5 linked regions of the Neurospora crassa OR74A genome follow. The protein of the gene in region 1 interacts with the protein of each later gene in a biochemical or structural test. Links are inferred from orthologs where the notes say so. Each region holds a gene or a part of one and is shown in the gene's direction. Other genes may lie near its edges. The genes, in order: NCU06091, NCU04404, NCU00493, NCU10066 and NCU01992.

The links.
Region 2: the proteins of NCU06091 (region 1) and NCU04404 form a complex in vitro, tested with the Saccharomyces cerevisiae proteins (2 studies listed by BioGRID). The link is inferred for Neurospora crassa OR74A from reciprocal best matches to the Saccharomyces cerevisiae genes VPS74 and SEC26.
Region 3: the proteins of NCU06091 (region 1) and NCU00493 form a complex in vitro, tested with the Saccharomyces cerevisiae proteins (2 studies listed by BioGRID). The link is inferred for Neurospora crassa OR74A from reciprocal best matches to the Saccharomyces cerevisiae genes VPS74 and RET2.
Region 4: the proteins of NCU06091 (region 1) and NCU10066 form a complex in vitro, tested with the Saccharomyces cerevisiae proteins (2 studies listed by BioGRID). The link is inferred for Neurospora crassa OR74A from reciprocal best matches to the Saccharomyces cerevisiae genes VPS74 and COP1.
Region 5: the proteins of NCU06091 (region 1) and NCU01992 form a complex in vitro, tested with the Saccharomyces cerevisiae proteins (2 studies listed by BioGRID). The link is inferred for Neurospora crassa OR74A from reciprocal best matches to the Saccharomyces cerevisiae genes VPS74 and SEC21.

Annotation. Positions count from the first base shown.
Region 1 is NC_026507.1:1,845,070-1,849,171, reverse strand, and holds the start of NCU06091 (vacuolar protein sorting-associated protein 74), read left to right. Parts: upstream 1-1,294; 5' UTR 1,295-2,042; coding exon 2,043-2,294; intron 2,295-2,505; coding exon 2,506-2,752; intron 2,753-2,851; coding exon 2,852-3,312; intron 3,313-3,443; coding exon 3,444-3,533; 3' UTR 3,534-4,102. Other genes in the region: NCU06090 (hypothetical protein), read left to right, coding at 1-491.
Region 2 is NC_026504.1:3,471,441-3,475,560, forward strand, and holds the start of NCU04404 (coatomer beta subunit), read left to right. Parts: upstream 1-1,314; 5' UTR 1,315-1,752; coding exon 1,753-2,054; intron 2,055-2,119; coding exon 2,120-4,120. Other genes in the region: NCU04405 (mago nashi protein), read right to left, coding at 152-292, 355-442, 505-568, 628-723, 807-844, 912-949. UniProt on the Saccharomyces cerevisiae protein: The coatomer is a cytosolic protein complex that binds to dilysine motifs and reversibly associates with Golgi non-clathrin-coated vesicles, which further mediate biosynthetic protein transport from the ER, via the Golgi up to the trans Golgi network.
Region 3 is NC_026503.1:4,047,227-4,051,524, forward strand, and holds NCU00493 (coatomer subunit delta), read left to right. Parts: upstream 1-1,497; 5' UTR 1,498-1,777; coding exon 1,778-1,780; intron 1,781-1,836; coding exon 1,837-2,471; intron 2,472-2,526; coding exon 2,527-3,337; intron 3,338-3,399; coding exon 3,400-3,489; 3' UTR 3,490-3,849; downstream 3,850-4,298. Other genes in the region: NCU00492 (hypothetical protein), read right to left, coding at 1-449; NCU00494 (hypothetical protein), read left to right, coding at 4,282-4,298. UniProt on the Saccharomyces cerevisiae protein: The coatomer is a cytosolic protein complex that binds to dilysine motifs and reversibly associates with Golgi non-clathrin-coated vesicles, which further mediate biosynthetic protein transport from the ER, via the Golgi up to the trans Golgi network.
Region 4 is NC_026507.1:2,814,657-2,818,688, reverse strand, and holds the start of NCU10066 (coatomer alpha subunit), read left to right. Parts: upstream 1-1,227; 5' UTR 1,228-1,658; coding exon 1,659-1,688; intron 1,689-1,770; coding exon 1,771-1,820; intron 1,821-1,935; coding exon 1,936-2,062; intron 2,063-2,130; coding exon 2,131-2,431; intron 2,432-2,511; coding exon 2,512-2,750; intron 2,751-2,812; coding exon 2,813-4,032. Other genes in the region: NCU02349 (UDP-glucose:glycoprotein glucosyltransferase), read right to left, coding at 1-252, 312-460. UniProt on the Saccharomyces cerevisiae protein: The coatomer is a cytosolic protein complex that binds to dilysine motifs and reversibly associates with Golgi non-clathrin-coated vesicles, which further mediate biosynthetic protein transport from the ER, via the Golgi up to the trans Golgi network.
Region 5 is NC_026501.1:1,752,644-1,756,923, reverse strand, and holds the start of NCU01992 (coatomer subunit gamma), read left to right. Parts: upstream 1-1,474; 5' UTR 1,475-1,646; coding exon 1,647-1,722; intron 1,723-1,821; coding exon 1,822-2,132; intron 2,133-2,199; coding exon 2,200-3,514; intron 3,515-3,577; coding exon 3,578-4,280. Other genes in the region: NCU01991 (hypothetical protein), read left to right, coding at 1-278, 342-681. UniProt on the Saccharomyces cerevisiae protein: The coatomer is a cytosolic protein complex that binds to dilysine motifs and reversibly associates with Golgi non-clathrin-coated vesicles, which further mediate biosynthetic protein transport from the ER, via the Golgi up to the trans Golgi network.

The DNA of each region.
Region 1 (4,102 bases):
CTGATGGTGTTCAGCTTTCTCGTGACGCCGCCTTTGTCAAGTCCGACGGAACCAAGAAGAAGGGCCCCACGGACGCCAAGTCCAAGCTTGCCAAGCTTGAGGCGCAGAAGAAGCGCCTCGAGGCCTTGCCTGAAGATAAGCGCAAGGAAGTCCTTGAGAAGGAGACGTGGCTCGCTGCTCGCAAGCGTGCCGAGGGCGAGAAGGTTCACGACGACGAGCACCTGCTCAAGAAGGCTGTCAAGCGCAAGGAGAAGGCAAAGAGCAAGAGCGCCAATGAGTGGAGAGAGCGCAAGGAGGGCGTCGCCAAGGCCCAGTACGATAGGTCAAAGAAGCGCGAGGAGAACATCAAGAAGAAGCAGGACGAGAAGAAGGCCCGCAAGATGGGCATCAAGGTCAAGAGCGGCAAGGGCGGTAAGGGTGGAGGAAAAGGTGCTTCCAAGGGTAAGAGCAGGCCTGGATTCGAGGGCGGATTCGGTGGTAAGAAGAAATAAGCGTCGGATAAGGTGTTCAGCAAGGGGTGTTTTGTCTTTTTGGAGAGAGATGTTGATACCACTGCTGCTGCATAGCGGCAGATGCTCGGGAGGCTGGCATATCCTTTTCCCATTCTTCTGCCTTGTCGCTACGTACATATTTCTTGCTGGAAGGGGGTAACAGGTGGTGTTTTTGGCGTTTGTTTTTTTTCCTCATGGTTTTTCGTTTCTTTTTTCTTTGCACGGTCGGAATGGAAAAAGAGATTATATCACACGTACATATCACAACTGGACCAGATCACGACAAGCGGTTAACATGGTACGAGGCTGGGCAAGCCTTGTCTTTTGTTCTTTTATACTTAGCTAGCTTTTAGTAGTGGTGGCGAAGGGAGGAGGTAGGGGCTGGAGGTCCCCCTTCTTCTTCAGCGAGGCAGCATCTTCAGGGAGTTAAAAAGTGATTATCAGCTCACCGAGTCTTTTCTCTTTTTTTGTCCGGTGACTTGAATTGGTGATGTGAGACGCATAGCTTCCCTTTCTTGCTTGTCTGATACCGAGGCGCTCTCCGGTGTAGGCGTTAAATTCCAGCTGTGAAATGAGGTGCTGTTAGTGCTGGGTGGTCGGACTCTACTTTATTCGCAATCAAAGCACTAACACGGCGCCTGGAAGCCGACATAATTCTAGGTGATGCTACACGATTTTATCATGATCGGAGCAACCCGTGTTCCGTTCCACAAGGGAAGCTTGGAAGGGGTTAATGACTTCATCCCTCGGTAGCATTGAACAAAGAAACAGCCGTTTCAAAACGTGGCCATTCAGAATATACAGGAAACACATAACCTAGCCATCTCCAACTGCACCCAAGTTTAAGGTTTGATACTTAGAACCCCTTTGCGCCGCAGGTGAACTGGACCCTGAGATTGGCTCTTGACCCGATTAGACTCCATCCGCCGCGCGGACCAGGACGGGATCCCACCTCTGGACTTTCTCTTTCTTTGACCGCTGCACAAAACAGCGTCCGGCACTGCTGCGCGCTGCCTGTGCCAACCAAAAGAGGGACCCGTCGAGCACCGACCCGTTACCTACGTACCTCTACATACCCGAGTCCACCACTCAGCCTCAACCAAACCTAACCATCCCCCCCCCCGTCGGTCCTGCTAGAGGTAGCCAAGAGAACACCAACAGACTAGCGAAACGACAAACACTCGCATCATCAAGAGCCGCGCCGAAGAGCGGCTTCCCACCACCCCCCAGACGACGACGACAACGAAGGACGGACCTCCACGTTCGGGACAATTGATCGACCAGGCTACTACCTCTACTAGTCGGCCTTACCCTTTCCTCTGAAACACAGGCTACACCCAGGCCTACCGAATCCCCAATCCGCAATCCTAATCCCCACGTGTTACCGCGAAACCGAAATTATTTCAATTCCCCCTGTCCGCGAAAACACGGGGAAATAATACCAGTGCACATACGCCCAAACTCGGCCGACCACATTCGCTTCGTGCCGCCCAATCATCACATCAGAAACAGTCCCCGATAAAGAAAAAAAAAACGAAGAAGAAGAAGAAGATGGCATCAACATCAGGCTTGACCCGGCGCAGGGGCGCGGGAGGAGGCAGCAGCGACGTCGGCGGCGGCGGCGGCGGCGGCGGCGCTTCCGACACGAGGGACGTTGGGCCCGACACGAGCTACGAGACGGGCGAGAACGGACACAGGATTGCCTTCGATCCCCGCGACCTGAGCGAGAGCGCAGAGAGGAGCAAGCAACCCAAGCTAACGCTGATGGAGGAGGTCTTATTGCTTGGCATCAAGGATCGCGAGGTTTGTCTCCACGTCTCTCTTTCTCTCAGTCTCGCTCGCTACACTATCCCTTTGTATGTTGTAGGGGCCTACCAAAGGGCTATCTTCTGACTATGGCTGGACTCGATATTGACGTTCGCCACGTGCTGCTCCTTGGACTGTTTTCATGATTCGGAATTCGGAACCTGGGCACGACGAGAGACGACATGGCTAACAAGACAACCCCCATCAGGGCTACCTTTCGTTCTGGAACGACAACATCTCCTATGCTCTTCGTGGATGCATTGTTCTCGAGCTGGCCTTCCGCGGCCGCATCAGTATGCAAAAAGACTCTTCCCGGCGGCGCTTCCCCCTGGCGGACCGAATCATCGAAGTCATTGACGACACTCTAACGGGCGAGGTGTTGCTGGACGAGGCCCTGAAGATGATGAAGACGAGCGAGAAGATGAGCGTCAGCTCCTGGATTGACTTGATGAGCGGTACGTGTTTGCGTCACTGCCCCATCTCCATTCCCCCCATGTCTATCGTGCACACCCAAGCGGAAGCAAACGTGCTGACATGACCTGTTAATACCACAGGCGAAACCTGGAACCTCATGAAAATCGGCTACCAACTGAAACAAGTCCGCGAGCGGCTCGCAAAGGGTCTGGTCGACAAGGGCATCCTGCGCACGGAAAAGCGCAATTTCCTACTGTTCGACATGGCCACACACCCCGTCGTCGAGGGCGCCGCCAAGGAGGACATCCGACGGCGTGTGCGCAACGTGCTGACGCAGCGCACCGTCGTGCTCACCCCGACCCAGTACCTGCCCGAGGACCTCGAGTTCCGGTACGTGCGGACAATCGCCATGGTGTGCGCGGCGCACGCAGCCAACGTGCTCGAGAACGCGCTGAGTACCCTCGGCCACGAGGCGAGGGAAAACGCCTTTTCCATGGCGGACGAGCTGTTGCTGCAGTACAGCCAGTGGCCGTTTGCGGCGAGGCCGTTGCCTGGTGGGAATGGTGGTGTGGGGGCGAACTTGCCGCAAGTTATTAATGAGGTACGTTTGTATGATTTCTTATCCAAGAGGTTCTGTTGGAAGAGGGAGAAAAAAGAACCCCTCCAAAAAAAAAAACCGAGCGGACTGTTCAAGCGAGAATTTTAGTTAACATATGCTCACCAAACAAACAGGAGGTCAACAAAGCAAAGGACAAGGAACTCCAGCTCGAAGTCGTGGCGGCTTGCTTGAGCGTATTCACTCGCCTTGACTCCCTGCTCTAAATGGCGCACGGCGGGAATTGTGAGAAAGCAAACAGCCCAGCCATTGAGGACAAGCGTGGGAGACACCCCGAAAAGCGAGAATGATGATGATGTGTTGTGCTGAGTGAGTGAAAGTCGGGGGAAGGAAGCCTTTTCACGATTACACTACGAACAAGGGGTGGTGGGTGGGCGCTGGGTCTTCGAGCGAGCGAGCGGGCAAGGGGTCAGTCAAGGCCGGCCTTCCTGATCCAACAACACGGAGGACGCAGCGCATTTTACCTGATTCACTCTATCACACCAGCGAAGCAACCGCGCAGAAGGGCCTACTATTTTACTTAATATCTTCACCTCGTCTCCTTGTATGGTAGGGTAGGTATGATGATGAACATTTTTTTTAATTTCCCTCTTTTGGTCTCCCACTTACTACTCTCTTCGAGGTCGAATAGGAGGAGGACGGGTTGGAGATGGTAAGAGGCTTGGGTTTTACTTGGAGGATATGAGAGGATTGGTGTGGATAGGTGGGCAGATACCGATGGACAATGAGGCGAAGCGAAGATGCGAAAATCAAAAAAGAACGGAAAAAAGAAAAA
Region 2 (4,120 bases), on another chromosome or scaffold:
TATCCATGTTAAATCCAGTTTCAAGAAACCCATCTGCGCCGCCAATAGATAGAAAAGAACGCCTTTATAAAACGCCGCATTATCCCACAAAATCTCTCCTTTCCATGAGTAAGGATATATCAAACTCGGGGTATTCGTTCGTGTCGGAAGATTAAATGGGCTTGATCTTGAAGTGCAAGGCAATGAGACTGAACACCAGCGCCTTGAGGTCCTGAACGAGGTAGTAGAAGACGCGCAAGCCTTCTGGGTCGGCCGAGTCCGTAACATCGTTGATCGATCCGATCTTGGCAGTCTATTTCCTGTATTAGCTCTGAACATTTTGCAGAAATAGATTCCGACACTGGCAAGACGCACCTCGAATGAAATGTGGTCGTTCCCGAGGCGGATCTCCAACTCCTGCTTTCCGTCTTTGTTTTTGGTCGGCCATTTCTCGTCGTCTTCCCTGTTGGCCTGTCAGCAGCCGCTCCATGTTGTTTGTATAAAAGGGTGAACATGATGTCGTACTTCATAATCTCGCTGTCCTTGATGATGCGCTTGATCTCGTCAATGACCAGAGAGCTGACGCACACTAAAAGAGACCCTCGTCAGTATATGGATGTCCACGGCCGGCTAAACAGTGTTTCCTACTCTCTTTCCTGATCAGACTGTCGTTACGGTAGTTGGAGTTGTTGGCATATCGGGCAGTGGCGCTACGTCCGTCGCCGAGGACGCGAAAGTCGAACTCTGTAGTCAAAGGGCGGTAGTTTAGCATCGTGGTCGTGGAAACGTGGGAGCTTGCGTCTCGAGGCGCAAATGGCTGAACACACCTAGGAACTCGTGGCCGAAGCGGCCCGAGTGGCCAGAGCTAAGCCGGCTGTTAGCATGGTGTTTTCAATGTGTGAGTGAATCGAATCCCGTAGGGGTGTACATACTAGTAGCGCAGATAGAAGGGTTCGTTGGCGGCTGACATGGCTGTTTGTTGCTTCTGTCAGTAGTAGGCTTTGCAAGACAAGAGGCAGAGATGCAGCCAGCGGCTTGGTTCCTGTCGCTTTTGGATGGACAACCTTGAAAGTCGCGCCCGCGCGGCCACGCTCCAGTGACATTGGCGGGGCACACGGCCCCACACTTGACCCCAGCTTGGCCCAGGGGCATTGTTTGGGCTCCAAGCTGACTCCGGGTTCACGAGCCTTCCTGACAGCTGGCAATCCGTATCTACACGTGATCCTTCGACTGTTTGGACAAGCTGGCAGATGGCAGACTCGGCCAGGAGATGGAGGCTTGGTGAGGCCGTAAGGGTGTCGGGGGGTCCGTGCTTCGCCGTGTGCTGTTGCGGCCGGCCAGAATGCCACATCTCCCAGGGGCCGTCTCTCGATAGAATTGACCGTCCTATCCACGCTGGCTCTTCCAGACTTCAACAACAAGCACAGGTGATGCTCCGCTCTCTCACCTCGCCGGCGCACTCCAGACAACCCTTTCATTGCGCAGCCGTCTCTTGATTTTCGGCCAACCACGACCCTGTCAGTCCAGGGGGAGGAAACCACATCCAGCACCAAGGCCAGCTCATCGTCACTCTTCAGGAGCTCGAGGCAGCCACTCAGTCCATCCATTTACTAGCACCACGCAACCTACAACGGGGCAAACAACACCTTACCACACCCGCCCCTCTCTAATTTCGATCCGCGACTCCTCTTCAGGACGCCCGGCCAGCTACTTTCTACCAAATTCAATCTCAACTTTAATCAAAGACGGCCCGGCCGCCGCCAGCTCTCCAACATGTCGTTCCTCGAAAATGCCTACAGCTTGGTCAAGGACAATGCCGTCGACGGCACCCCAACCGTGCAGGAGCTCAAGACGCAGCTCGAAAAGGGCACCGACGAGACCAAGATCGAGACCATGAAGCGCATTCTTACCATCATGCTCAATGGCGATCCCATGCCCCAATTGCTCATGCACATTATCCGATTCGTAATGCCTTCTAAATCCAAGCCCCTGAAGAAGCTTCTATACTTCTACTATGAGATCTGCCCCAAGCTTGATGCCCAAGGGAAGCTCAAGCAGGAGTTCATCCTAGTATGGTAAGGCATTCCGTGTCCGTCTGGGCATGCTGGCCCCTCCAAGCTGACCAGCCATTGCCTCGCAGTAACGGCATCCGAAACGACTTGCAACACCCGAACGAGTACATCCGAGGCAACACGCTGCGCTTCCTGTGCAAGCTGCGGGAGGCCGAACTTCTCGAGCCTTTGCTCTCCTCAGCCCGGGGCTGTCTCGAACATCGCCATGCCTATGTCCGAAAGAACGCCGTCTTTGCTGTCGCTTCCATTTACCAGCACTCCCCGTCGCTTATTCCCGATGCTGCGGACTTGATCTCCACGTTCCTCGAAGGCGAAAGCGACCCAACCTGCAAGCGGAATGGCTTCGCCGCCCTTGCCAGCATCGACCACGACAAGGCTCTTCTCTATCTCAGCACCGTCTTTGACGGTATTCCCAACGCAGATGAGCTTTTGCAGTTGGCCGAGTTGGAGTTCATCAGGAAAGATGCTGTTGTCAACACCCAGAACAAGGCGCGCTACCTCCGTCTTATTTTTGACCTTTTGGAAGCTAGTGCCTCGACCGTTATCTACGAAGCGGCCTCGTCGTTGACGGCCCTCACCAACAACCCTGTCGCTGTCAAGGCTGCTGCCAGCAAGTTCATTGAGCTTGCGATCAAGGAGGCGGATAACAATGTCAAGCTTATCGTTCTGGACCGTGTCGATCAACTCCGCCAAAAGAACCCCGGCGTCCTGGACGACCTGACCATGGAGGTGTTGCGCGTTCTCTCTAGCACGGATATCGATGTGCGGAGGAAGGGTCTCGAGATCGCTTTGGAGATGGTCTCCAGCAAGAACGTGGAGGAAGTCGTGCTTTTGCTCAAGAAGGAGCTGTCCAAGACGGTTGACCAGGAGTACGAGAAGAACAACGAGTACCGCCAGCTTCTTATCCACTCCATCCATCAATGCGCTATCAAGTTCTCCGAAGTCGCCGCTAGCGTCGTCGGCTTGCTCATGGACTTTATTGCCGATTTCAACAACAACTCCGCCGTTGATGTTATTAACTTTGTCAAGGAGGTCGTCGAGAAGTTCCCTCAGCTCAGGCCAGCAATCATTGCGAGACTGGTAGATACCCTGAGTGAAGTCCGCGCTGGTAAGATCTACCGCGGTATTCTCTGGATTATCGGCGAGTACTCGCTTGAGGAGAAGGATATCAGGGACGCATGGAAGAGAATTCGGGCAAGCCTGGGTGAGATCCCGATCTTGGCATCCGAGCAACGGTTGCTGGATAATGTTGATGGTGATGCCGAGGAGAAGGAGAAGGAGCAGGTCAATGGCTCAAGGGCAGCGCCGACTGGCTCACGCAAGGTCCTTGCTGACGGCACATACGCTACCGAGACTGCCCTTACCAGCCAGTCTACAGCTGCTGCACGCCTGGAGGCTGTCAAGGCTTCGTCGAAGCCCCCTCTCAGGCAACTTATCCTTGACGGCGATTACTACCTTGCCACTGTTCTCGCATCGACCCTTACCAAGCTTGTCATGCGTCATGCCGAGATCTCCTCGGAAGAGGCTCGCACGAACGCCCTCCGCGCTGAGGCTATGCTCATCATGATCTCCGTCATTCGTGTTGGTCAGTCGCAGTTCGTCAAGGCCCCTATTGATGAAGATTCGGTGGATCGTATCATGAGCTGTGTGCGCTCCCTTGCCGAGTTCACCGCGCACAAGGAGTTGGAGACCGTTTATCTCGAGGATACCAGGAAGGCGTTCAGGGCGATGGTCCAGGTTGAGGAGAAGAAGCGCGCAGCAAAAGAGGCCCACCAAAAGGCAAAGACGGCCACCCAGGTGGACGATGTTTATCAAATCCGCCAGCTTTCCAAGAAGAATGCCACTGATGGGGCTGATGCTTTCGATGCCGATCTCGAGCGTGCCACTGGTGGAGACAACAGCTCGGCTGAGGACCTATCTGGCAAGCTTAGCCGCGTTGTCCAGCTCACCGGTTTCTCCGACCCTGTTTATGCTGAGGCCTATGTCAAGGTCCACCAGTTCGACATTGTACTAGACGTACTACTCGTCAACCAAACAACTGAGACCCTCCAGAACCTTACCGTCGAGTT
Region 3 (4,298 bases), on another chromosome or scaffold:
GCAAGATCAATCTGGACGTCCTGGGCTTCCTGTTCCAATTCACGTAGATCTGGATTCTCGTCATTTGCAGACGGCGCTTTTGATATAGTGGTATCTTCGGGCTCGTGTTCAGTAACAGCCTCTTCTGCAACGCCCTCCTCCTCTTCATAACCTATCTCGTCATTGTATGCCATGGAGACATCCTGAGCATCTTGCTCGACGCCGCCTGCCGCCTCTGCTTGCTCATCGTTGGTATTATGCTGAGCCTCGAGGTCATCGACAGCAAATTCAACATCCGCTGTGGCGGGTTGGGCATCAAGATCGATCGCCTGGTACTCATCTTCCTTGTCATGTAGGTCGTCGAGTTCTAAGACAAGCTCGTCGGCTGGCATGCCGGCATCTAGCATCAAGTCATCGTCAAATACCGCCTTCCCCGCCTCGGCACGAACGTCGAAGCTAACTTGCTCCATGATGATTGGCGGTTGGCGGGTCAATCAAAACACGCGCCACAGACGAGTGAGTTGGATCAAGAACGAAAATTTGGAAAATGACGCAAAACTTCCACGAAGTTTCTAAGAAGGTGCGACGTATTGCCGTTGTCAAGAAATTGTACGTCCAGCAAGCGTCATGAAAGAAGCGAAGACGTAGAAAATTGGTGCACTGGTCAAAACCCCAAGCTTGGCGATGGGTTTCGGTGGATGTCTTGGACTGAAAGGCTGTGACTTCTTCTTGGAAGCGAAGCCGTAGGGCATATAGAGACCACGGGTTCTGGAGTTATGGCTGAGAATGGGCAACCCCGCACTCGACAAAGAACGCCCGACAAACAACGGCGCTTCTGGGGCGCAAAATGAAACGGTGAAGGGATGTGAGGCGACACGTGGACTGGCGGAATCCGACAACACGATTTAACCGCTGTTAAGAGTTCTGGGGCGGATGTTCTGGGCAAAAGTGCACATCGAATCGAGGTATGGAATGCTGAAACGCGGCAGGCAGATAATCGGGATGCCTCACTTTCACGGAGCGGCGGAGCTGGGAGGTGGGTGAAGTGCAACGGAGTCGAGTAAGCTCTTGATGACGAGGCGTGTCACAAAGGTAGCGTAGGTATTTGATGATCCGTAATCGAGACTCGTATTGGCTGGGCAATGCTTTGACGCGATTGAGAAACAAGTTTCTCGATGGCGGATGGTTTTTCGAGGTAGGCGATGGTTTGGATGGAAATGGAAATCGTGAAATTTCGACACACGGGGCCGTCTGTTGTGCGTGTTGAAGAAAGAGGTGCAGTTGTTGGTTTTGCCGCAGTGTGTGGACAACGGTGAAATTCGCAGAATTGATCATAGGAAGGAAACTGAACCTAAGCAAGTGCCGCATGGAGTTTAGCGGGCCCTGTGGGTGCCTAGAGGTACCTACCTACTGTACTTGTATCTATGGTGTGCCCCTGGATTTCTTTTGCCAGCTGGCAGCCCCTCGTCGGCCGGCCAGGACGCTGCCACCGTGTACGCAGTAGGTTGCCCTGGCCCGCCTGAACCCGACTGCCCTGACGCTGCAGTGAAGCTGCCGTCCAGGTACCTCTACCTATCGCTGCCCGCTGGGTCCCTCCAGATGGCACCTTCAGTTCAATTGGACCTGACCGACAGCACACCTCAGCACGGCAACGGAAAGACCACATCAACCTTCCCGTCCACGACAACTTTCAGGAGGTGAAGCTCACGACTTACCTCCAACGCATCCCAAAGCTCCCTGCACTACCACGAAGCGCCCTTCGAGTCAGTAGTCGTGGTTGTTGTTTACTGCTGTCAAAATGGTAACTCATCCATCCCTGTCTCCTGGTGGGAAGAAGCGATTGACGGAACATGTCAGGTTGTCCTCGCTGCCTCCATCTGCACCCGCGGCGGCAAGGCCGTCTTAGCCCGCGCCTTCAACGACATCAAGCGCTCCCGCATCGAAGCTCTCCTCGCCTCGTTCCCCAAGGCCGCCGACTCGGGTACTCAGCACACCATTGTCGAGCAAGACAATGTCCGATTCGTCTACCAGCCCCTGGACGAGCTGTACATGGTCCTCATCACCAACAAGCAGTCCAACATCCTTCAGGACATCGACTCGCTCCACCTTTTTGCCCAGGTTGTCACCAGCACCTGCAAGAGCCTTGACGAGCGCGAAATCCTCCGAAATGCCTACGAACTGCTCAGCGCCTTCGATGAGCTGGTGACTCTCGGTTACCGGGAGAACCTCACCATCAGCCAGATCAAGACCTTCCTCGAGATGGAAAGCCACGAGGAGCGCATTCAGGAAATCATTGCCCGCAACAAGGAGCTGGAGGCCACCGAAGAGCGCAAGAGGAAAGCCAAGCAGTTGGAGATGCAGCGCAAGGAGTCGGCCAGAACTGGTCGGTCCGCGGTACCCCGGACGCCGGTATATCCCACATACACCCCGCCGGTGCGACCTGCTGTCACCGAGTCCTATGATACGTACGAAGCCGAGAAGAACAAGGTCAAGTATGTGTTAGTCCCTCTTCTTTTCAGGCTGGCCTGCAAGCTCACATTCTTCTAGGTTCAATGCGCCAAAGGGCAAAGGTATGCAGTTGGGCAAGAAGTCCAAGAATACGGATATTTTCGAGCGCGTGAAGGGGGATCTTGGACACGAGGCCGAGGAAGCGCCCCTTGTTCCGGTAGCCGCGCCGGCAGCTGCCGCAGAGCCTGCTGCTTCCAGAGTCTCTTCGACACTCGACAGGGATGCTATTCACGTCCTTATCAACGAGGCAATCAGTGCCAAGCTGTCGAGAGATGGTGCCCTCGAATCCCTCTCGGTCAGCGGTGACCTCCAGCTTCGCGTCTCCGACCCATCGCTTTCAAGGATCAAGCTCAACCTCAGCGCCACACCCACCCACGGCGCCCAGTTCCGCACTCACCCGAACGTCGATAAGAATGTCTTCAATAGCTCCCAGGCTATCCAGTTGTCTCAAATCACAAAGGGTTTCCCCCTTAACAACTCTGTCGGAGTTCTAAGGTGGCGGGCCAGTCCCAGAGTCGACGACACCAGCGCACTACCAATCAGCTTCACCGTTTGGGTCAACAAGGGCTCGGATGGCAACAGCACATTGACGGTCGAGTACGAGCTCACTGGCGGAGATACCCTCAAGGACGTTACTGTCGTCATCCCCTACACGAGCGCAGAGCCTCAGGTGTCTAGCTTCGACGCTGTGTATGAGGTGTCTGGTGACAGTCTAGAGTGGTCGATAGGCACCGTAAGCGAGGAGAACGCCAGCGGATCATTCGAGTTTGAGGCGCAGACCGATGACGAGAACGAGTTCTTCCCGATGCAAGTACGGTTCTCCAAGTCGTGGCCGTTCGTGGAGGTTGATGTAAGATGTCGCCCCCTCATGTCAGAAAAACGGGTAAAGACGGAACAACTGACACATTCTAGGTTCAATCTGTTGAGCTGGTGGATGAAGGTGAAGAGGTTTCGTTTTCCAAGGACATCAGATCGGTGGCCGACAAGTTCCTCATTGAGTAGGGTTTGTTGTCATTGTTTTGAGCAGAACCAAAAAAGGGCGACCGTAGCATGCCGGCCAGGCGTCTCGATCATCATCTTCCACACCAGAATTAGAGTAATGTATGGGAAGCAACCGAGTTGTCCAACTCCCTTTATAATGAATACTGTTGTACATGGTCCGCGCCAGTGGGTGCTCGAGCTGTCATTCCTTTTCTTCCGTTGATACCCAAGGTCATACTTGACTTTTTGAACAAGAGGTTTTTGACGCTCCCGGGATCCTTGAAAGTAACATGTAAGCTACGAGCCCTACGCATTTTTAAGGGGATGGATACCCTCATGATCCAGTACCATATAGAAAGAAGCCTATCTACGCAAAGAGCTATCCAACTCAATCATCGCTGTTGTAAGCACAGAGTATGGTAATTGATGTCGATGTGTGTAGTTCGCTAGGTAAGCTTGTAAAGGTCATACCTACACAGTACGGATGCCCCTGCACAGTATTTCTATTACTGTGGCAACTGCTCTATCTGCACTGTGTTTTGAATCAACAGGCAGGACGAGACCACACGACTGAATCGCAGAACAGCAGCAACAACAACAACAACATCACGCCGAGGCAAGTGAAGCTGTAGGTCTAGCAAACCAAAACCGAAATCCCCCAAACATACAAACCGACTTGCCAAGTTATGGACTTGCGCGTGTCATTCAAATCAAAATCTTGCGTCCCGGAGTTGAAGGCTGGAACCACTTAGCCGCTGCTTTCCACGTCCAAATAACATCATCCAACTGAAAGTCACCAACGGATCCTACAAAATGTCCCCAAATGGGCA
Region 4 (4,032 bases), about 970 kb from region 1:
GCCACTACATATGGCTCAACAGCAGTGGTATAGTACTGATAATGAGCCTCGACACGGGGCGCAGCGGACCGCAACGAAAGAGCCAGCTTGAAGGTCGACAGCGCCTCAGCATTCACATGCCCATCTTCTTGAAGAACCTGGAGGAACTTTTCATAGAGCTCTTTGTCGGACTTGGCCTGGGCAAAGTCTCCCTTGGCAATGCGGTCCAGCAGTGGGAAGTAGGCAGTAGCATTTTCGGAAGCCGCGGTTTCGCTGGATTCGGATGTGAGAATGGTCCGGTGCGAGTGAAGGAGGAGGGCCAGGGAACTTACAGGAGCTCTACCAGATACGGAGGCGAAGGAAACGCGGCCTTGAGTGCGACGTCTACAGAGGGAGAAGCTGCAACGTGGTGCGAGGGAAGCCATGTCGCCGTGACAATGGCTGCCGCTAGACCCCACGGCAGCTGGGAGAGACGGATCATGGTTGTCTGGACCAGGAAGCAGGTTTATTTATGGTGACGCAGGGAGGTAATGCGGAGTTAGAAGATTGCTCGATGAGATGGCTGCCTGTTTTCAAAGCTCAATCATGAGTGGGATGAGAAAAGGTGCCACGTTGGATGTCACCAACGTGAAACGGCACAGCTCGAATGTGGTGGTGGTGGTGGTGTTGGTGTTGGTGTTGTAAATAGAGCTATACAAAACGGGACAAGTAAGAGGTCACCGGTTTACTCAAAAGCGTTCAAACAAAATAACAACCTCGGTAATCTGGCAAAGTCACCAGATACACATGGAGTGGTGAAATTGGGGATAGCTTCACAAACAAGTGGGCGCTGAGGTTCCTGCCGTGTGAACACCTCGCCCCGGCTGTTCAGTTGTACACTAGTGAAGCAACAGAGCTCGCCCAGTTCGGTCTAGCGTCTGAGGGAAGCTGTGTACAGGTGGCCGCCAGGGTTCATCCGTCTCACATGGGAGGTTGTGGCTGGTGCGACCCTTGACTTGCGGCCCCTTAAATGAGGCTTACGCATGCCGTAGCCCCTGAATTGCGGATCCTCTGTGTGTTTATGGCGTGGCGGTGCACGACTAGGTGGAATCGATGAGTGCCGCTGCCCGCTGAGGCCACGCCAGTCGTGTCTGCAAGGCCCCAACTGCAGTGGACAGACAGGTGCTGTGCGAGTGGCAGCTGCAGCGCCCGCCAGCACTGAATGGGGAGGTGAGGTCGGTGCGATGGAGATGCCACGCTTCCCTACCACACAGGTAAGGGTAGTATGGATCCTAACAAGTGGAATTGAAGCCGCCGCCCGAGACCGTCCTGTCCACTCCAGCACCTCAGCTCCGTTAGTTGATTGTGAGTGCCTGGCATCCATCGCGGACCTTGTTTCGAACGACTGGTCCTACACTGAGCACTCAGCTTGTACCCGACACTCAGTCTACCTCGACACTTCCTTTCCACTTTGGCTCCGTTCATTCCCCAAACCACCACGCCGCCGCCGCCACCACCACCCCTCCTCCTCCTCCCACCCTCCGAACGGCAATCCCCATCTCCCATAGTATTTTGCGACTTCACGGCGTCTCGGCTGATCGCGTCCTAATTCCCCCCGTCTCCCACTTAAATACTTAATCCACCTTTCCCACGTTGATGCCGGGAGCTTAGGCTGTGCTCCCCTTAAAGCCACTGGCAAGATGCAGGCCTCCTCGGGAATGCTCACCAAAGTACGTTGCTTGTCGTCCACTCTCCATGTGCCTTCTCCCCAGCTCGAGCGTGTCTAACATCTTACCTTACCCCTGTGCGCAGTTCGAGTCCAAGTCGTCGCGAGCAAAGGGCATCGCCTTCCACCCCAAACGGTCAGCCTCTCCGTCCCCACGAAAGAGCAGAAGCTCCCCCGTCACTTGACCTGGGTCTTGATGTCTACGCCTGTCAAGAAAACCAAACGCGAAACTAACATGGCCTTGCCTCCAGACCATGGATTCTCGTCTCCCTCCACTCCTCCACCATTCAGCTATGGGACTACCGCATGGGTACCCTGATTGACCGATTCGAAGAGCACGATGGCCCCGTCCGCGGCGTTGATTTCCACAAGACACAGGTGAGCTCCCTGTTCCCTCGATGCGCCGAACCCGAGTTATCGACAGCTAGCTTACACATCCGTTACAGCCCCTCTTCGTATCTGGCGGTGACGACTACAAGATCAAGGTCTGGTCTCTCCAGACTCGGCGCTGCCTCTTTACACTCAACGGCCACTTGGACTACATCCGCACCGTCTTCTTCCACCACGAGCTTCCTTGGATTGTCAGTGCTAGTGACGACCAGACGATTCGGATATGGAACTGGCAGAACCGCTCCCTGCTCTGCACCATGACGGGCCACAACCACTACGTCATGTGCGCCCAGTTCCATCCCAAGGAGGACCTCATCGTTTCCGCCTCCCTCGACCAGACTGTTCGCGTTTGGGATAGTACGTGGTGCCTTAGCTGGGAAAGATGGCATGGATATCTGCGGAATACATGGATGGCTGACCATTTTGTCTTGTCACAGTCTCGGGCCTCCGCAAGAAGCACTCCGCGCCCACGTCCATGTCCTTCGAGGACCAAGTTGCTCGCGCCAATGCCAACCAGACCGACATGTTCGGCAATACCGACGCCGTTGTCAAGTTCGTTCTCGAGGGCCACGACCGCGGTGTGAACTGGGTTGCCTTCCACCCCACCATGCCCTTGATCGTGTCCGCCGGTGATGACCGCCTTATCAAGCTGTGGCGCATGAGCGAGACCAAGGCTGTACGTGTTGTGAGGATTTGTGCATCTGATGACAACTTGCTGACTGAACCAACCATCCATAGTGGGAAGTCGATACCTGCCGCGGCCATTTCCAGAACGCCAGCGGCTGTCTTTTCCACCCCCACCAGGACCTTATCCTTTCGGCCGGCGAGGACAAGACGATTCGCGTATGGGATCTTAACAAGCGTACCGTAGTCAACACCTTTAAGCGGGAGAACGATAGGATCTGGGTCATCGCTGCTCATCCGGAAATCAACTTGTTCGCTGCTGGTCACGACAATGGTGTTATGGTGTTCAAGCTCGAGCGCGAGAGGCCCGCTTCCGCCGTTTATCAGAACAACATCTTCTACATCACCAAGGAGAAGCACGTCAAGATGTACGACTTCCAGAAGAATGTCGAATCGCCCACGCTTTTGTCGCTCAAGAAGCTCGGAAGCCCTTGGGTGCCCCCAAGGACGCTCTCCTACAACCCCGCGGAGAGGTCAATCTTGGTCACTTCCCCGGCGGATGGTGGGTCGTACGAGCTCATCACCCTTCCTCGCGATGGTTCTGGAGCTATCGAACCCACAGAATCCAAGCGGGGCCAGGGCAACTCCGCTGTCTTTGTGGCTCGCAACCGTTTCGCTGTTCTTAACACTGCCACCCAGACCGTCGATATCAAGGACTTGACCAACAACACCACGAGATCGTTCAAGCCCCCTGTTGGCACTACCGACATCTACTTCGGCGGCACCGGCAACCTCCTCATCATTACTCCGACCGCTGTTCACCTCTACGATATCCAGCAGAGAAAGAGCACTGCCGAGCTGGCTGTAACTGGCGTCAAATACGTTGTCTGGTCTAACGATGGTCTTTACGCCGCTCTGCTCAGCAAGCACAATGTGACAATTGTGACCAAGACCCTGGAGCAGGTTAGCACTCTACATGAGACTATCCGTCTCAAGAGTGCTGCGTGGGATGACGCCGGTGTTCTGCTCTACTCGACTCTCAACCACGTCAAGTACACGCTTCTTAATGGCGATAACGGCATCGTTTGCACCCTCGACCAGACTGTTTACCTCACCCGTGTCAAGGGTAGAAACGTGTACTGCCTTGATCGTGCTGCGAAGCCCAAGATTTTGCAGATTGACCCCACCGAGTACCGCTTCAAGCTTGCGCTTGTCAAGCGTAACTACGAGGAAATGCTACACATCATCCAGAACTCGAGCTTGGTTGGCCAGTCAATCATTGCTTACCTTCAGAAGAAGGGCTACCCTGAGATTGCGCTCCAGTTCGTCCAGGA
Region 5 (4,280 bases), on another chromosome or scaffold:
TCACCGTCCTCAGGCACGAAGGCTGAGCCTGACCTCGACGCCGTGTCGCAACGCTCGAGAGAGCTCTCGGCAGCTAACCGGAAAGCCAGAGGACCACAGAGTCGGTCACCCTGGCTTCGCGATGACATCAGGATGTTGATCAAGGCAGTGGATACGTACAAGTGTAAATGGAGCGTCATCGAGAAGGAAATAAAGGAGGGGAAAATCCCTTTTGAGCGCCCTCGTGACCAGCAGGCTTTGCGAGACAAAGCTCGCTTGCTAAAGCAGGACTTCTTAAAGTGAGTGACTTGACGCCTTGCTTACTAAACCTTATCTGGCCGCTACTGACACGTCTGGTACAGGGCTGATGCTATTTTGCCTCCGTCCTTTGATCTCGTTGTGCTGGGCAAAAAAGAGAAAGAAGCTGTGAAGGCATGCGGCAAAAATCCCGACCGCAAGGAAGACGACGTCCGGAACGGGTTTCCCATCAATACTGATTATCACGCGCAAGAGCCGATGCAGGAGCAAGCAAGCGCCGCCGAAGCGGAGGACCAAGCGCAGGTGCAGGGCGAGGAACAACCGGACATGCAACTCGAAACACAGGCGGAGGTACAGACTGAGGCGCAACCCGAGGCCTCGGCAGTGGTCTCAGATGAGGTGCCTGTCGATGCAGAAGCGATAGAAGCTGCTTCCACATCATAGGGTCCATTTGTGTATCCGATCGCTGATGCTACGCAGGTGAGGGCCGTAGCAGGAGAGTGATATAAGAAGCTGTGCCTAAGAGTACGCCCCAAAAGAGAGCAAGCAAACATACTAGAAAACAAATCATGCTTTTATGAGCCAAAGCAAGGCTATATGTCCTTTTGGAGGAAGACGAAAAGGAAGAGATGGGTACAATGGATGCTCGGACCAACTGTATCCTTAAGTACAGGCTGGGACTACCGTTGAGGAGAACCAATTGACAGCAAGAAGGGCTCACGATAATGCAATTTGAGTAAAGTAGTCAGTATCAAGCTGTCATTCAAGCCGAAAGGGAAGGCGGCCACCTAGACCGAGTGTGGGATGTAAAGCTTGGCACTGAACAGGTCCAAGTAAAGTATCAATAGTTATCATGGTGATTACTACGTACTAGCAATCTTGGTTCTATTTTTCCTTCAGAAGCACAAGTGAGGTGACCTGGCAGGTTGAACAATGTCAAGTTTGTCTTCCAGGAACAACATCCCGTGTGATTATATTGAAAATAATTAAACTCGATGATCTACTCAGGAGGCGGGAGGGAAGCATCTATGTAGAGGTAACTAGGTATGTACATATTGGAAGGGTGGTCTGTGCGCTGTAACACCCGCTCCTTGAGGTTGACGATGCACATGGAGAAGCTTGCTCCTGCCGGGAGGCTTTCAGCCTCTAACTGGCGAGACTGGCAGCGTGGCCCGGGAGCACGGACTCCCTGACACCTCAGTGGACTCCCCCTCGACTGTGCAGTGGAATTGGCAACGTCGCGGGTTTGGGGATACCCGCTTGCTGGCCGCACCGTCGCACAGGCAACACGCTACTCCGTTATTTCGTACCTCTATTGTTCTAGCCTCGACTTACTTGCCTCAACAACAACAACTTGGGTTTCCCAAATCCACATCACACCTCCAGCACCCATCGTCGCCCTGCCCGCCATGAATTACGGCAAAAAGGACGAGGATGCTGAGACGGGTCTGGTCAAGGTCGACCGGACCCAGGTCTTCCAGGAGGGTGAGTCCGAGTACCTTGGCAGCTGAGGCATTGTTCGTCGGGTGGACGTGGCCCTTATACTCTCCTAACCTCCTCAAGACTGACCGGTTCGACATACAGCCCGCCTCTTCAACAACTCCCCCATTCAGCCGCGCAAATGTCGTATCCTCCTCACCAAGATTGCTCTCCTCCTCTACACCGGCGAAAGATTCCCGACAAACGAAGCCACGACGCTGTTTTTTGGTATTTCGAAGCTCTTCCAGAACAAAGATGCCAGCCTACGACAGATGGTCCACCTTGTCATCAAGGAGCTGGCCAACTCGGCCGAGGATATTATTATGGTTACCAGCACCATTATGAAGGATACTGGCGGTAGTACCGATGCCATCTACCGCCCGAATGCCATCCGCGCCCTTTGCCGCATCATCGATGTAAGCCTCCCCCTTCCTCGACCCCTTAATGGTTATCCGATGTGGAGCTAACCCCGACCTTGTGCAGGCCACCACAGTACAGTCCATCGAGCGTGTCATGAAGACGGCCATTGTCGACAGAAACCCCTCAGTATCCTCTGCCGCCCTCGTATCGTCATATCACCTTCTCCCCGTCGCCAAGGACGTCGTCAAACGGTGGCAGAATGAGACCTCGGAAGCGGCAGCTAACACCAAGTCTACCGGCGGTTTCTCCCTCGGTTTCGGATCTTCCAACAGAGATCTGCCCATCAACAGCTCGACTATGACCCAATACCATGCCATTGGCTTGCTTTATCAGATGCGCATGCACGACAGGATGGCGTTGGTGAAGATGGTCCAGCAGTTCGGTGCTCCCGGTGCCGTCAAGAACCCCGCTGCTCTCATGTTGCTCGTCCGTCTTGCCGCCCAGCTGGCCGACGAAGACCCACACCTTAGGAAGCCCATGATGCAGCTGCTGGATGGCTGGCTCAGGCACAAGAGCGAAATGGTCAACTTCGAGGCCGCAAAGGCGATTTGCGATATGCGGGATGTCACCGACGCTGAGGTCACCCAGGCAGTCCATGTCCTCCAACTTTTCCTTACCTCGCCCCGCGCTGTCACCAAGTTCGCCGCTCTTCGCATTCTCCACAACTTCGCTTCGTTCAAGCCGGCGGCCGTTGCTGTATGCAACCCGGACATTGAGCTCCTCATCTCCAACAGCAACCGCTCCATCGCTACTTTTGCCATTACTACCCTACTCAAGACCGGAAACGAGGCCAGCGTGGATCGTCTGATGAAGCAAATTTCTGGCTTCATGTCTGAAATCACCGATGAGTTCAAGATTACGATTGTCGAAGCCATCCGTACTCTATGCCTCAAGTTTCCCAGCAAGCAGGCCGGCATGCTCCAGTTCCTCAGTGGTATTTTGCGCGATGAGGGTGGCTATGAGTTTAAGCGCGCCGTGGTGGAGAGCATGTTCGATCTTATCAAGTTCGTCCCCGAATCTAAGGAGGAGGCTCTCGCTCACCTGTGCGAGTTTATTGAGGACTGCGAGTTCACCAAGTTGGCAGTCCGTGTCCTTCACCTCCTCGGTCTTGAGGGACCCAAGACATCCCAGCCTACCAAGTACATCCGATACATCTACAACCGGGTGGTTCTCGAGAACTCCATTGTGCGCGCCGCAGCGGTCACTGCCCTTGCCAAATTTGGTGTCGGCCAGAAAGATCCTGAAGTCAAGCGCAGCGTAGAGGTTCTCCTCACCAGGTGTCTGGATGATGTTGATGACGAGGTTCGCGATCGTGCTGCTCTCAACCTCAAGCTTATGAAGGAAGAGGATGAGCTTGCGAACAGGTTTGTCAAGAATGGTAAGTTCTCGTCTACTTTATGTTACGTTTGCCGGATGCGATCACATACTGACATGTCAACAGACAGCATGTTCTCGTTGCCCTTTTTCGAGCATCAGCTCGTCACGTATGTTACTTCTGATGACAGGTCGACATTCGAGGCGCCTTTCGACATCTCCAAGATCCCTGTTGTTACCCGCGAACAAGCAGATGCCGAGGATAGGACCAAGAAGCTTACTGCTACGACACCTTCACTCAAGCCACCCAAGGTCGGACCAACCAAGGCGGCTCCCACCAGCGCCGAGGCAGCCGCATCTGCCTCGGCAGCTGCGCAAAAATATGCGCAGGAGTTGATGCAGATTCCCGAGATGGCAGAATTTGGCGCCGTTCTCAAGTCGTCGCCGGTGGTAGAGTTGACCGAGGCGGAGACCGAATACGTCGTTGGAGTTGTCAAGCATATTTTCAAGGAGCATATTGTGCTCCAGTACGAGGTCAAGAACACCCTTCCCGACACCGTATTAGAGAACGTCTCTGTCGTAGCTACTCCCGCGGAAGAAGAGCTTGAAGAATTATTCATTATTCAGGCTGAGAAGCTCGAGACCGACGTTCCTGGAAAGGTATATGTGGCATTCAGAAAGGTCAGCGGTGAGGGTTCGCTACCAGTTAGCACCTTCTCCAACGTCCTCAAGTTCACCAGCAAGGAGATTGATCCCAGCACCGGTGAGCCTGAAGAAACCGGCTACGATGACGAGTACGAGGTTGCCGAGTTTGACCTGGCGGGAAGCGA